Linked DNA regions of Macaca mulatta. The protein of the gene in region 2 binds, or shares a complex with, the protein of the main gene of each other region. Links are inferred from orthologs where the notes say so. Each region holds a gene or a part of one and is shown on either strand. Other genes may lie near its edges.

The links.
Region 1: MED16 (region 2) and MED13L share a complex: the UniProt entries of both Homo sapiens proteins name them as parts of the mediator complex. The link is inferred for Macaca mulatta from reciprocal best matches to the Homo sapiens genes MED16 and MED13L.

The regions. Positions count from the first base shown.
Region 1 is NC_133416.1:123,229,515-123,237,185, reverse strand, and holds part of MED13L (mediator of RNA polymerase II transcription subunit 13-like), read left to right. Parts: intron 1-928; coding exon 929-1,121; intron 1,122-1,761; coding exon 1,762-2,185; intron 2,186-2,691; coding exon 2,692-2,911; intron 2,912-4,358; coding exon 4,359-4,547; intron 4,548-7,671. UniProt on the Homo sapiens protein: Component of the Mediator complex, a coactivator involved in the regulated transcription of nearly all RNA polymerase II-dependent genes.
Region 2 is NC_133424.1:1,526,977-1,534,647, forward strand, and holds part of MED16 (mediator of RNA polymerase II transcription subunit 16), read right to left. Parts: intron 7,641-7,671; coding exon 7,434-7,640; intron 5,896-7,433; coding exon 5,685-5,895; intron 4,084-5,684; coding exon 3,950-4,083; intron 2,847-3,949; coding exon 2,567-2,846; intron 1,641-2,566; coding exon 1,424-1,640; intron 1-1,423. UniProt on the Homo sapiens protein: Component of the Mediator complex, a coactivator involved in the regulated transcription of nearly all RNA polymerase II-dependent genes.

The DNA of each region.
Region 1 (7,671 bases), on a different chromosome or scaffold from region 2:
GTCTGGTCAGGGGATATATAACACTATTAAATCATAATTAACTGAACATTTGTGTAAGCAGTTTTAAAGCCCAGCCATTCCCTTGAATGGAACCTTCAGCTTAAGTTACAAAATATAAAAACCACTGCCAGATCTTTTTAAGAGGGTGCAGACACTCTTTAAATTTTTCGTAATGACTTCACTAGGGTTGCTCATTCAGCAGTGATTCATACCTCCTTAAGAAGAGTATATACTAGAGGATTTTGTCAGGGCTTAGTAAGCCTTTACTTCATCTACTCCAATAAGGGATAATAATGTGGGCTCTCCTGCTGGTGAACAGGTAGTTTACTTTTTGCAGGTTTATTATATTCCCTGCCATAAGCTCCCATTTAGCGTCATGGAGATTAATAGCAGAATCTCCTTGTCCTATTCACTTTAAAAAAAAAAAAAAAGTGATCAGCGTACTCACTGCTTCAGTGGCCCCTGCTATTGGTGATCTCCAAATGTCTGTAACAGAACAGATGGCCCATAAAATTTTAATGTTATCTTATGGGAAAACATTATGAGTAGGGATTACTTAGGAGATTTTAGTGGACATATGTCTCAGTCAGCCTACTATGGCAGGAATCTGCTAATTCTTTGTCCGTTAGCAGTCAGGTAGTGTTCAGCAGCCTCCTCTTGTACAGGAGGAATTGGCTTGAGTGAAGAAACTTTGTTTTTTTTTTTAGAGAGCCTAGTCCAAGTTTTAGAGAGACAGATAGCAATTTAAGGGTACATTACAATTACCTGAAAGGACCAACTTATAATGTTGCTTTGATTGCATGCAGTAACCCTAAAAGAAAAAGGAAAATGCTTCCATCTGTATGTTAAAGAATCTGCCTTGCTAACCATTGGTACCGAATGAAGGAATGGCCCCTGTTATAACTAATGATCTCGTCTATGGTATCAGATGTGTAGGCTTGGGCAGCACAAGCCCATCTGCAAAGTGCTACGTGACGGGATCATGCGCGTGGGAAAAACCGTGGCACAGAAGCTGACAGATGAGCTTGTGAGTGAGTGGTTTAACCAGCCTTGGAGCGGCGAGGAGAATGACAATCATTCCAGACTCAAACTTTATGCGCAAGTTTGCCGCCATCACCTAGGTAAATGGGAATCTATTTGGCAAAGTAGAACTGGAGAAGTAAAATAGCAAATCCCTCCCATCCTTTCTTTTATAGATGCAACATTGTATTTCTTTTGCCTCAAGTAATGCTGTATTTGTTAAGGTCCATTTTGGTGTTCTGAGCAGTTTAATGCTAATTTCTATATGTACATATATTTTTTAAAAACTATTCAAAGTTGCCTAATCATGTCTAATTTACTCCACATTTTGAAAACTTAGCAGCATGACTTGGTGTTAGCTGCTTAGTTTTAACCCATATTCTGAAGAGAATCTTAGAAGCTTGTAAACCTAGGAGTATAATGTCCCGTGATGACTGTGGAATATATAGCTTCTCATTTTTCAGGGCAGGCATATGGAATCAGTCTGAAAGGAGACTATCACAAGTGATTGATTTTCTCTTTTCAAACAGGCCTCTTCAGTAGAATTTATAAGTTGCTCCGTGTGCATTTCCATGTTTGCAGAATACATAAGCATGAGTGTGGAGATAGTATTTTGTGTATTGTAATCAGAGTATTGCAGCTTGAAAGCATAATTTTTTTACAAGTGACCATTCTAGATTTCTGGTTTAGTCGACACTGCAGAATATCACTAAAGTCACCTCTTTGCATGTATTCTTTCAGCACCTTATTTAGCCACTCTGCAGCTTGATAGCAGCCTGTTGATACCACCTAAATACCAGACCCCACCAGCAGCGGCACAGGGACAGGCTACGCCTGGGAATGCTGGGCCCTTAGCTCCAAATGGATCAGCAGCTCCCCCAGCTGGCAGTGCATTTAACCCCACCTCGAATAGTAGTACTACAAATCCTGCAGCAAGTAGTTCCGCATCTGGTTCCTCTGTGCCACCGGTCTCATCGTCTGCCTCTGCTCCTGGTATTAGCCAGATAAGCACTACCTCTTCTTCAGGATTCAGTGGTAGTGTTGGAGGGCAGAACCCCAGCACTGGGGGCATTTCTACGGATAGAACTCAAGGGAGCATAGGCTGTGGCGGAGACACTGACCCTGGGCAGAGCTCTTCTCAGCCCTCACAGGATGGACAAGAGAGGTATGTTACTCACTAATTGAGACGAGTGGCCTCAGCTCAGACCCTTTCTCTCTTCTTCCGCACCTTTTCTCCCTTGACCTCATGATTCTCTGAATCCTATGAAGTGCTCTATTTCTCTTCTTCTCAAAAGAAAGGGGTAATGGTCAATCTAAAGCTGCAGTGTTAAAATTTTGAGACTTCTTATAAATTATTATGACTTATAAACCTTATTATTAAACTTACAATCAACTTAATAACAACTTTGTACAACATAACCACAGAAAAGAAAGGGGAGTTTGAAAAAGATATCTCCCATTTTAGAGGAGTACATTGCCATTTTCCATCTGCTTTCAATGCTCTCTGGCTTGGTTTGCCTGTATTTTGGTAAGGTGATACATGTTACTCTTACATTTAATCTGTAAATATTCTTTAGGGAGCCTGTGTGCTCTAGTATTGAGCACTTTTGTTTTTCATACTCATGTAATTTATGTTTATTTTGTGTGTCTCACAAGTGACTCTCTTGCCAGTGTTACAGAAAGGGAGAGAATAGGAATTCCCACGGAGCCTGACTCTGCAGACAGCCATGCCCACCCTCCAGCCGTTGTCATTTACATGGTAGACCCATTCACTTATGCTGCGGAGGAGGACTCCACTTCTGGGAACTTTTGGCTGTTGAGCTTGATGCGCTGCTACACAGAAATGCTGGATAATTTACCTGAGCATATGAGAAGTTCTTTCATTCTCCAGGTTACTGTTTGCAAGTTTATTATTTACTTTTGATGTTGATGTTTTTGTTGTTGTGAAAATAAATACAGGCTTATGGTTTTTCTTAAAAAATAGAAGTACAGGTTAATTATCCTCTAACCAAAATACTAGGGACCAGAGTGTTTTGGATTTCTGATTTTGGAATGTTTGCATATATGTAATGGGAGACCTTGGCAGTGGACCCAAGTCTAAACATAAAATTTGTGTTTTATATACACCTTATACACTTAACCTGAAGGTAATTTTATACAATTTTTTTAATAATTTTGTGCTTTATACAAAGTTTTGATTAAATTTGACTGCAGCACATCACATGAGGTCTGATACGGAATTTTCCACTTGTGGCGTTTTATTGACATTCCAAAAATTGTGAGTTTTGGCGCATTTTGGATTTCAGATTTTTTGATTAGGGATATTCAACCTGTACCCGAAAGTATAAAAGAAAAAATAATCATAATTCTGACTTTTACATTCAACCACCATTACCATTTTGGTGTTTTTCTAGCTTGTTTTTCTATTTTTGTTTACACAGTTGAGATCATACTTTTAATATAACTTAGTTTCTATCTAATGTTATTCATGAATACATTTTCATGTTATTTAAATTCTTACAAGCATTTTTAATGACTGCATATTTTCCATAGCCATTCCTATATCTCCACTTCTTTACTGTTATAAATAAAGCCATAGTACACATTTATGTATAATCTTATTTTTCACATTTCAGGTCATTTTTTAACATGGGTTCTTAGATGTAGATGCGACACATATTGCCAAATTCCATTCCAAAAGAGATTACACTTACTTTCCTTTCATCAGTGAATGAGTATGCTTATTTTCACTGCCCCTTTGACAGCTTTATAGTGTAATGATTTTTTTAAAAATTCTATATAGATGAAAAACAGTGCTTCGGATGTTTGGGTTTCATTTTAATGTCACTTTAACTGAAGCTATCTTGTAAAATTAAAAGATTGAAATTAAAGTTATCAGAGTACATTGCTGATAGTTTTCCATTGTTTTGAAGTCTGTATCCTAAATGATTAGGTAATAATTCCAAAAAATGCCACACACACTGTGTAATTATAAAAAGGAGAAATATAATACAATTTGGGGGCCATGGTAATACCTGTAATAAATTGAGATCTTACCTCTAAAATGGGAACATGGTAGTTTCTAAGTGACAGTATAACTTGACCCATATAATCGTACATCTTTCGAAATTGCTGGTGATAGAGAATTTTATGTCAGTGGAAGGAATTAGGATTTAATTATATTATGTGTGACACTGATATATTTTAGGGCTGAGGTTACCTCTCCCCATTGTGGTAAGGAATTCATGCCGTTTCCTTTTTCAGCTTGCTTGTTAGCGTGTTAGATCTCAGTTTCTAGGTTTTTGGTTTTGTTTTGTTTTTTGTATTTGTGTCTTTAGATTGTGCCTTGCCAGTACATGCTGCAGACAATGAAGGATGAGCAAGTTTTCTACATTCAATACTTGAAGTCCATGGCATTTTCAGTGTACTGCCAGTGCAGGCGACCATTGCCTACACAGATCCACATTAAATCCCTCACGGGATTTGGGCCTGCAGCCAGCATTGAGATGACCCTCAAGAACCCTGAGGTGGGTATTGGCAGGACAGGAACTTAGAAAATTTATACTAAAATGCAAGCTAGGAGAGGTATTTTATCTAACCTAGAGATTGGCTGGTTGCTTAGTTGGCCTTCTACCTTGATATAAGAGTTGCTAGGCTGGATGTGGTGGCTCACGCCTGTAGTCTTAGCACTTTGGGAGGCTGAGGTGGGAGGATTACTTAAGCCTAGGAGTTTGAGACCACCCTGGGCAACATAGCAAGACCCCGTCTCCACAAATTTTTTTAAAAAAAATTAGCCAGGTGTCAGTGATGATGTGTGCCAGTAGTCCTGGCTGTTTGGGAGGCTGAGACGGAAGGATCACTTGAGCCCAGGCGTTTGAGATGGCAGTGAGCTGTGATCACACAACCACTTCCGCCTGGAGAGTAAGACCCTGTCTCAAGCAGGGAATGAAAAAGAGTTGGCAGATTTCTTTAACTCTTAGATTTAAATAGAGGAGATATTTCTCTGAACTTTTAAGAATTTTTGAGAAAAGAGGCAAGCAAATTCTTACTGTTTTTTTAATGTAGGACTTTAGGCAATAATATATGTATCACTTTTAGTTCTTAATGTTTGAATTTTCTAAATTTATTTTCTTTATTTTTCTAAGCTACTCTGTGTCTTAGATCAGAAATCCTTTGCATTTTCTGGCTCTGGTCTGTATCCTGAGACAGCAGTTGTAGTTGTGTTTACTCTGCAGGGGGCCCTCATTTTCTGATGCACATACTTACAGGGAGTTGATTTCTCCTTTCCTTGCCTCAGTGCTTCGGTATGTAAATGAATGCATTTTCGCTCCATCTTTTTAAACCTACTTCCTACAGATATGTGTGGATTTCAAAGGGAATTTTACAGCACCAAAGCTAAACATGTTTTAAACAAAAGTTTTACATTTCCTTTGTTTTTCTAATCACCTTATCTTGAAGATAGGTATACAGGGCAATGTTCAGAATTTTCAAAGCCTTCAAAAATCAGTTCCCACAATTTTATTGCATGAAAAATACCCGATTAGTAAAAGCCAGCAAATACCTCTTTACCATAAGAGAGCTTCTTAAAACACCAATTGCTATTTTTAGTTGGTAATGTTGTTCTGAACAACTCTATGAAATGCTTGCACTTTTATAAGTAAAATGCTTGGAAGTGAAAAATGATGCAAGTAGTTAATACTGTGTTTGTTGTAACTTGGTTCAGGTCAGCTTAGTCCCAAGGGAGAAAAGCTGCTCAGCCGATGACCTACATTCACTCCAGTGTTATATAAAATTTCTATTTTAGGCAGTTTTAGTTTAGTTTATTCTTTGAGTTTAAAGTTTTCACTTCTATGAGCAGTTCATCTGTTTTCTCTATTAAATTTTTCTAGAATTTCAAAAATAAACATCTCTACTTATTTTTCATTTTGTTTCCAGAAATTATGAATTATTGCCTTTCTAAAGGTTATTATTCTCAGAGCGCCATCAGGAGCTCATAAGATAAAGTGAGGTTTAGGTTAAAATAAATGGCAAAAAGACTTCGAGTAGTATGCTTTTTCTCCATTTTGCTTGAAAGAGGAAGAGAGAAACGATTTTACTTTATTAGAAACAAAAGAACCAAATGTTATAAATATTTGCTGAAGTTTATACTTTTTTTTTTTTTTTTTTTTTTTTTTTGAGACAGAGTCTCACTCTGTTACCCAGGCTGGAGTGCAGTGGTGCGATCTTGGCTCACTGCAAGCTCCGCCTCCTGGGCTCACGCCATTCTCCTGCCTCAGCCTCCCAAGTAGCTGGGACTACAGGCGCCCACCACCACGCCTGGCTAATTTTTTGTATTTTTAGTTTCACCATGTTAGCCAGGATGGTCTCAATCTCCTGACCTTGTGATCCGCCCGTCTCGGTCTCCCAAAGTGCTGGGATTACAGGTGTGAGCCACTGCACCCAGCCTGAAGTTTATACATTTTAATCTGCATTAAGGTAATGGTTAGTTGGTCAATGCTGCCTCTGCCTCTGCCTCAGTCTGCAGCTAGAACACTGTGTTCTCGTTTGGTAAATATGGTTGAGCATCTACTGTGTGCCAGGTGCTCTCTTAGGTGCTGAGGATGCAGGGGTGAACAAAACAGGCCCCTGCCTCCATGCAGTTCTCATTCTCTGGGTGGCACAGTTTTATACAAGTTGTCACATGTGAAAGAATCTACTTTATAGTATTTATATGCAAATTTTCAAATACAATTGCTGTTATCTTTTGTTTTTCATGGAATATCTCACATCTCAACACAGTTTGGGAATCATATTTTATTTAGTGTTTCAGAAGCTATCTATTACATCTGAGATATTTCACATTTAGCCTTTTGTTTTGTAAAAAACTCCAGGCAAACTCAGCTGGACTTTTTCTTTTTTTAGTAACAGCTTTATTGAGATACAATTCACATATCATGAAATTCTTTTTAAAAATTTCACAGTTTAGGCTGGGCGCGGTGGCTCTTGCCTGTAATCCCAACACTTTGGGAGGCCGAGGCAGGCAGATCACCTGAGGTCAGGAGTTCAAGACCAGCCTGGCCAACATGGCAAAATCCCGTTTCCACTGAAAATAAAAAAGTTAGCCGGGTGTGGTGGCGGACACCTGTAATCCCAGCTACTTGGGAGGCTGAGGCAGAAGAATTGCTTGAACCCAGGAGGTGGAGGTTGCAGTAAGCACAGATCACGCCACTGCACTCCAGTCTCGGTGACAGAGTAAGACTCTGTTTCCAAAAAAAGGAAAAAAAATTGTATAGTTTAGTGGTTTTTAGTATTTCCACAGAGTTGTACAGTCATCACTACTATCTAATTTTGGAACGTTTTCGTCAACCCTCAAAGAAACACAGTATTCATTAGCACACACTACTCATTCCCCACTCCAGTCCCTGGCAACCACTGGTCTGCTTGCTGTCTCTGTGCAGCTGCCTGTTCTGGACATTTCGTGTAGATGGAATCATACAATATATGATTTTTTTTTTTTCTTTTTTAGACAGGGTCTCATTAATATTGCTTGGGCTGGTCTTGAACTCCTGGCCTCAAGCAGTCCTTCCCCCAATTTTTTTACTTTTATTTTTGAGACAAGGTCTTGCTCTGTCGCCCAGGGTGGTGTGCAGTGGCAAGATCACGGTTACTTGC
Region 2 (7,671 bases):
TCCTGAAACCCAAACCCTCGTGCGTGACTCACTAGCAGGACCCTCCCACAGTGAGCACGAGGAAGAGAATGCTGGAGGTCCCGGAGCCAGGCCAGGCCCAGAGCCAGGCTACTGGGGGTTCACTTCATTTTCTTCTTTTTGCTCATCTGTGTTTTCTAAAATTCCAGCCATGAGCCATCAGCGGCTCAGGGGGTTTGGGTGTGCTCCTGGTCAAACGCATGTTGGATATGGGCTGGGGGTCTGACGGGCCTGGGTTCAAATCTGGACTTGACCACTTCCTGACCACGTGACCCCAGACGAGTGGGGTGACAAGGTCCCACCCTTTCCAGGCTGGGTTTCCTCACAGTGAAGTGGGTGACAAGGTCCCACCCCACAGGGCTGCTGGGTGGCCGGGGTGAGCTCAGCAGGCTTGGGTTGTCCAAACCCTGCATGTTCCAGAGGAAGGCCAGCCCCGAGCCCTGCAGCTGACCTCGTAACCCCGGGAGAGCCTTCTGGTGAGGTGTTTGTGCTCAGCGGTGCCCTGGGCCATGCTATGGCGTCTCTCTCCATCAATAAGGGGATTGACGGTGAGGCCTCACATCCAGAGAGACCAGAGACTAAGGGCAGAAACTAAGGGCACCCTGCACAGCAAGGCTAGCACACAATCAGTAAAAACCAAGGCAAGGCCGGCGCGGTGGCTCACGCCTGTAACCCCAGCACTTTGGCAGGGCGAGACGGGTAGATCACCTGAGGTCAGGAGTTCAAGACCAGCGTGGCCAACATGGCGAAACCACGTCTCTACCAAAAATACAAAAAATACCTGGGTGTGGTGGTGACGCCTGTAATCCCAGCTACTCAGGAGGCTGAGGCAGGAGAATCATTTGAACCTGGGAAGCAGAGGTTGCAGTGAGCCAAGATGGCACCACTGCACTCCAGCCTGGGCGACAGAGCAAGACCGTCGGGGCGGGGGCAGTGGGGAAAGCGAGAGGGTGAATGGAAGGACTGGGTGCCCGCATGGGTGGTGGTTCATGGAAGAGCAGGGACGCCACTAGGGTATGGCGTTAAGGGCACCTGGAAGGAAGCAGCAGTTATGGCCGTGTGGATTCAGGGGCCCTGGGGCAGGACATAGAGGGAGGGAGCTGTGTGGATTCAGGGGTCTTGGGGCAGGACATGGAGGGAGAGAGCCGTGTGGATTCGGGGGGGCCCTGGGGCAGGACATGGAGGGAGGGAGCTGTGTGGATTCAGGGGTCTTGGGGCAGTACAGGGAGGGAGGGAGCCGTGTAGATTCAGGGGGGCCCTGGGGCAGGACATGGAGGGAGGGAGCTGTGTGGATTGGGGGGCTCTGGGGCAGGACACGGAGGGAGGGAGCTGTGTGGATTCGGGGGGCCTTGGGGCAGGGCATGGAGGGAGGTGTGTTTGGGGACCAATGCAGGGACACACGCACCTTGCAAGGCCATCGAGCTGCAGGGTGGCAGCACTGCCAGGCAGTGTGGGCGCCCGGCCGAACTGCAGACGTAGGGGCTGTTTGGGCTGCAGGCGGCTGACCAGGCCGTCGCTGGCGGGCAGCCAGTCCAGGCTGGGGATAAGCAGCTGGCTGGGCAGCAGGCAGCACTCGTCCACCAGCGCCTCGTCTGGCTCGCTCGCTGGGCCCTCATCGCGACCTGCAGAGAGGGGTGGCCAAGGTCTCGGCAACTCTGCCTGGGGCAACCCTGCCCGGGGCACCACCCGGCCACCCGGGACGCACGGGGAGCCCCTCCAGTTCAGGAGCACCAGGTCGGGGCCCCGGCTCTGTCTGCCTGGCTGGGTGACCCCAGGGTTCTCTCACCCTCTCTGGCCTCAATAATGAGACTCCCTCATTCACTTAAAAAGTATGTAGGAAGCTGGCCGGGCGCGGTGACTCACGCCTATAATCCCAGCACTTTGGGAGGCCAAGGCGGGTGGATCACGAGGTCAGGAGATGGAGATCATCCTGGCAAACACTGTGAAACCCCGTCTCTACTAAAAATACAGAAAGTTAGCCAGGCGCAGTGGCGGGCGCCTGTAGTTCCAGCTACTCCGGAGGCTGAGGCAGGAGAATGGCGTGAACCTGGAAGGTGGAGCTTGCAGTGAGCCGAGATTGCGCCACTGCGCTCCAGCCCGGGTAACGGAGCAAGACTCCATCTCAAAAAAAGAAAAAAAAAGTATGTGGGAAGCACTGTGCCTTTCCCAGACACTGAGACATAAGAACGATCCAACCCACCCTCCTCACATACACACAACCTGACAAGGAGAGACAGCAAATAGGAGCCTGGGAGTGGCTGCCATCCCAATGGCACCCACACCGAGCATGGACCTGTGCTGCGAACCGAGGAAATGGCAGAGATCAAGGCAGAGCCATTGCCACCTGCAGGGGCTTATGTTCTGGCGGGGGGCTCGGACACGGTGCATTCTGGTAGGAGAGGGGAGCAGAGGGCTTATGTTCTGGCGGGGGGCTCGGACACGGTATGTTCTGGTAGGGAGAGGAGAGCAGAGGGCTTATGTTCTGGCAGGGGGCTCGGACGCGGTGTGTTCTGGTAGGGAGAGGGGAGCAGAGGGCAGGGGGCCTCACAGCAGATCCAGAGCTTGGTGAGCAAGCGGAAGAGCAGCGACATGCTGTCCTGGGTGTCCGAGGTGGCTGTGTACACAGGCAGGCAGCTGGGCTTCAGCAGGCCCCAGATGCGGATGACCACCATCAGCTCCCGAAGCATGCCCAGCGAGGTGCCATCCCGCAGGAAGCTGTGGCCCGGCCTCAGCAGCGAGCCCTGCCGGAAAGAGGCATCGGAGTAGCTGGGCGGCGGGGGGGCAGATGGTGATGGGATGAGGTCTCTCGGGTCCGGTGGAACCCCGACCTGGAGGCAATGGACAGGGTCTGGGACGTTTGTGGTGGTCAGGACTGGGGAGCTCCTGGCACGGAGTGGGTGGATGCCGGGGACACTGCTCAGCGCCCTGCAGGGCCCAGGACAGCCCCGTCTGGAGAGCTGTCCCATCCCTGAGCCGCCACAGGACTAAGAAGCGGCTCTGGCTGAGGCCAACGTCCCCACCGGCACATGGAGGAGCAGCCGCCCCCCACAGCTGAGTGGCCCTGGTGGCTGTACTGGGAGCCGAGAGAACCTGGCAGCCTCAAGTCCCACAAGGAGCAGACAGGGACTTCAAACCGTGCCTGATGGGCGCGGGTGGAGAGACAGAGGCCCCAGGGCAGAATGAAACTTGGGGAGAGAAGTCACGGTTTGGGCAGGACAGAGTGTGTGGGCGGGGGGAGGCTGGAGCCCTGCTCGGGGCACACAGGCCGCATACTTGAAGGTGGGGGTGTGGATGGAGACTTGATGATTTCAAAGCTGCCAACTCCCCCCAACCGCCTCCTGCACCGGGAGCTGGGGAGAGTAAAGGGTGGGACCGAGAAGGGGCAGGGTCTGGGAGGCGGGGCTTCGAGAATGGGCAGAAAGTGTGTGGTCAAGGAAGGGTTTTTTGCAGAAGCTTCATGGAGGTGAGGGCTCTGAGGTGGGGCAGCGCTTCAGGACGGGCGGGATAGGCAGTGGAGCTTTGAGAATAGACAGTGTCAGGAGGTGGGGCTCCAAGTAGGGGCGGGGCTGAAGTGGTTTTCAGGGGCAGGGCCAAGGAGGCAGGGCCCAGATGAGGGGCGGGGCCAGGGAGTCAGGGCTCAGATGAGAGGCGGGGCCAGGGAGGCAGGGCCCTGATGTGGGGCGGGGCCAGGGAGTCAGGGCCCAGATGAGGGGCGGGGCCAGGAGTCAGGGCCCAGATGAGGGGCGGGGCCAGGGAGGCAGGTCCCTGATGAGGGGCGGGGCCAGGGAGTCAGGGCCCAGATGAGGGGCGGGGCCAGGAGTCAGGGCCCAGATGAGGGGCGGGGCCAGGAGTCAGGGCCCCGATGAGGGGCGGGGCCTCGGGGAGGGCAGCCTCAGGGGCGAGGGCAGCCTCAGGGGCGAGCGCAGCGCACCTGGTTGGGCAGGCTGGCCAGCAGGTAGAGCACGAAGTCGCCCACCCACTGCAAGAGCTGCTGCAGCGCCTGCAGCGTGTTCATGTCCAGGACAAACTCCTCCGTCTTGAGGTTGATCATGACCTTGTCAATGTCTGCAAGGAGACACGGGTCGGGTCAGCTCGGGCTTCTTGTACACGGTGACCTAACTGCACCCCTCGGTCCTTCGACCTGCACCGAGCGCCCAGCCGCTGCCAGGACACAAGGGGACCCACGGCGGGAAGGAGAAGGGGGCGATGGCGTTGCCAGGGAGGAACCGGGAGCCCACTGCCCGCCCACCTGGGGGCCGCTTCTCTCGGCCTGCAGGCCTTGGCGCGGGCAGGTCCCCATGCCAGGGCCACCACTGCTCAGGCCCGGCCCGCTGGTGCACATCTGCCCCTGCTCCGAGGTGAACTCTGTGAACACAGCAGTGTGTCCACACTGCAGCTGCAGCCACGCAGGACCGGCACCTGGCGCCGGTTACACACCCAACAGATGCCTGTTGGATGGTGACTAGGGTGGCCCCACAGAAATAATGACTGTGCACACAGCTCCTAGATACCACGAGCGCCACACGCCCACAGTGAGCTGGGTACTCCAGACAAACAATAACCCTAATTTTTAAATTTTTTGAGACTGAGTCTCACGCCGCCCAGGCTGGAGTACAATGGCACGATCTCAGCTCACTGCAAGCTCTGCCTCCCGGGTTCAAGCAATTCTCCTGCCTCAGCCTCCAGAGTAGCTGGGACTACAGGCACCTTCCAACGTGCCCTGCTCATTTTTGTATTTTTACTAGAGATGGGGTTTCACTGTGTTAGCCAGGATGGTCTCGATCTGACCTCTGACCTCATGATCCGCTCACCTCGGCCTCCCAAAGTGCTGGGATTACAGGCCTGAGCCACTGCGCCCGGCAACCCTAATTTTTAAGAGACAACCTGCCAAGCACAGCGGCTCACGCCTATAATCCCAGCGCTTTAGGAGGCCGAGGCGAGTGGGACACCACGTGCTGGGTGAGCTGCTTAGCCTCTCTGCCTCAGTCCCCTTATAGCAAAATGGGAGAAGGAGCAGACCTGCCACACAGGACCCGGGTGCCGCGTCTCGGCCTGGGAGTAGCATCTCAGCCCCCAGGTGGAAGGATCGCTTGAGCTCAGGAGGTCAAGACCAGTCTGGGCATCACAGTGAGACCTTGTCTCTGCGAATAATTAAAAACTGCGTGTGTGGCGCACGCTTGTAATCCCAGCTACTCCAGAGGCTGAGACGAGAAGACTGCTTGAGCCTGGAAGGCAGAGGCTGCACTGAGCTGTAACTGTGCCACCGTGCTGCAACCTGGATGACACAGTGAGACCCTGTCTCTAAAAGGCTGGGTGTGGTGTAATCCCAGCCTTTAGGCTGTATCCCAGGACTTTAGGAGGCTGAGGCAGGTGGGTCATTTGAGGTCAGGAGTTCGAGACCAGCCTGGCCAACATGGTGAAACCCCATCTCTACTAAAAATACAAAAATCAGCCGGGCGTGGTGGTGCAGGCCTGTAATCCCAGCTACTTGGGAGGCTGAGGCAGGAGAATCACTTGAACCAGGGAGGCGGAGGCTGAGGCTGCAATGAGCTGAGTGTGACACTGCACTCCAGCTAAGACCCTATCTCAAGAGTAAAAACAATAAATAAATAAAAAAAAAAAAAATGAAAAGAGCCTCAAGGCCCTGGGCGCGGGACAGGACCCACCGACGTCAGTGATCTTGGCGCAGATCTCGGTCAGCCGGTCGCCGGGGCTCTTGTCGGGCGTGTTGAGGAAGTGGGGGCGCAGCAGCGACTTCAGGGTGGAGCTGATGGCGATGAGGAAGAGCTTGGTGTGGTAGTCGCACACGCGGGTCACCGTGCAGGGCGACAGCTTGCAGAGCGAGGCCTTCATGGCCAGGATCCGGGTGGAGAGAACCTGGGGGCAGGAAGCCGGGTCACCCCAAAGGGCTGTGGCAGAGGCGCCCGCCAAGGCTCCAGTGGGGAGAAGAGCAGTCCGACCCTGAGCCCAGGTGTTCTGTGAGCTGGGAAAGCTGCTTCACCTCTGCACCTCAGCAACCTCGTGGCTAAACGGGCGCAGAGGACCGGCCACACAGGACCAGGTGCCGGATCTCAGCTGGGAGCAGCTCTGCCCCGGCGGGGGCGTCCTGGTGATGTCTGCAGACATTTCTAGTTCTCACCACTGGGGGTGCCCCTGACAACTGGAGGCCAGGGAGGCTGCTCAACAGGATGCCCCCCACCCCAGAGGCTGCTCCAGCCCCCGATGTCCGCGGTGCCTGCAGGGAGACCCTGGTCTAGCAGGACAGAATTAATGAGTTGAAGCATTTTGGGAGGCTGAGGTTGGAGGATTCCTGGAGGCTGGGAGTTGCAGAGCCTGTGTAACACAGAAGACCTCATCTCTACAAAAAATAGAAATAACTAAAAAACAAAAATGAAACACTTGGCACGCAGTGAGGGCCCAAGGAGGGAGAGAGTGAGGCCTCGCCATCACAAGCCCCGTCACTGGCTACGGATCCCAGCCATGCCGGGGTTTAGCATCACAGCCCCCTGCCTGGGTCTCCCGTGTCTCTCAGCAGGCTGTGCTGTGAGTGGGATATTTTTCCCATTTTATCTTCGTATTGGTTCTTGGCGGCATAGAGGAACACGACTAAGGTTTAGAGGGCTGGTCCCATGTGCAGCTGCCAGATGAGCTCGTTAGATCTGAGGTCTTTCGCAGACACTCTGAGATTGCAGGCGCATGACGACATCACTGCAAGAGACCTTTCTGATGGGCGGGCCTCTCTGTCCCCTCCTCTCCTTCCAACGGCCAGGCCTCCGTGTCCGCCCTCTCCTCTCCTTCCAACGGCCAGGCCTCCGTGTCCGCCCTCTCCTCTCCTTCCAACGGCCAGGCCTCCGTGTCCGCTCTCTGCTCTCCTTCCAATGGGCGGGTCTCTGTGTGTTCATCTTCTGACTGTGCTAGCTGAGGCCTCACACCACGGGCCTGCCTGGTGTGCACCCTGGAACCCTCTCTCACTCTGAGAGGACGACTTAGAAAGACACCCCCAGACTGGGAACACTGGAGAAGGGAGTCATCCAGGGAGCATCAGGCCTTACCTGTGAGGCTTAACGTGTTACAGAGGAAACTTCCCAAGTGAGGAGGGAAACAAAGTGCTCCTCTGAGGTGCAGCTTTACTGGACGGGCCTCTGGGTGCACACCCCACGCACAGCCTCACCTGCTGCAGGCTACCTGCCCCTCCTGCCCTCCGCCTGCCACAGAGCCCCTGATCTGCCGCAGGGACCCACCACAGCTGCCACAACCCCGTCTGCCGCTGGGACCCCCACGTCTGCCGCAGAGACCTCCACAACTAATGCGGGGACCCCCCTCCCTGCTGCTGGCCCCTCACTGACCACGGGGCCCCTGCCTGCTGCAGGGCCGCCCCCACCTGCCACGGGGCCCCACCTGCCACATGACCTCACCTGCTGCAGGGCAGCGGTCTGGCGCGTGTACTCCTCATGCAGCTTCTCCACCAGGCTCTGCACCATGCTGGGCTGCACGTGCAGCAGGATGTCCCACCAGTCATAGCCGGTTACCATGCAGTACTCCAGCAGGAAAAGCAGGTGCCGCAGTGCCAGTCCCACCTCCAGCGGGTGGCCCATGGAGGGCGAGAGGCGGAGCACGCTCAGCTGCCAGAGACAGAGCCCAGGGAGAGCCGGG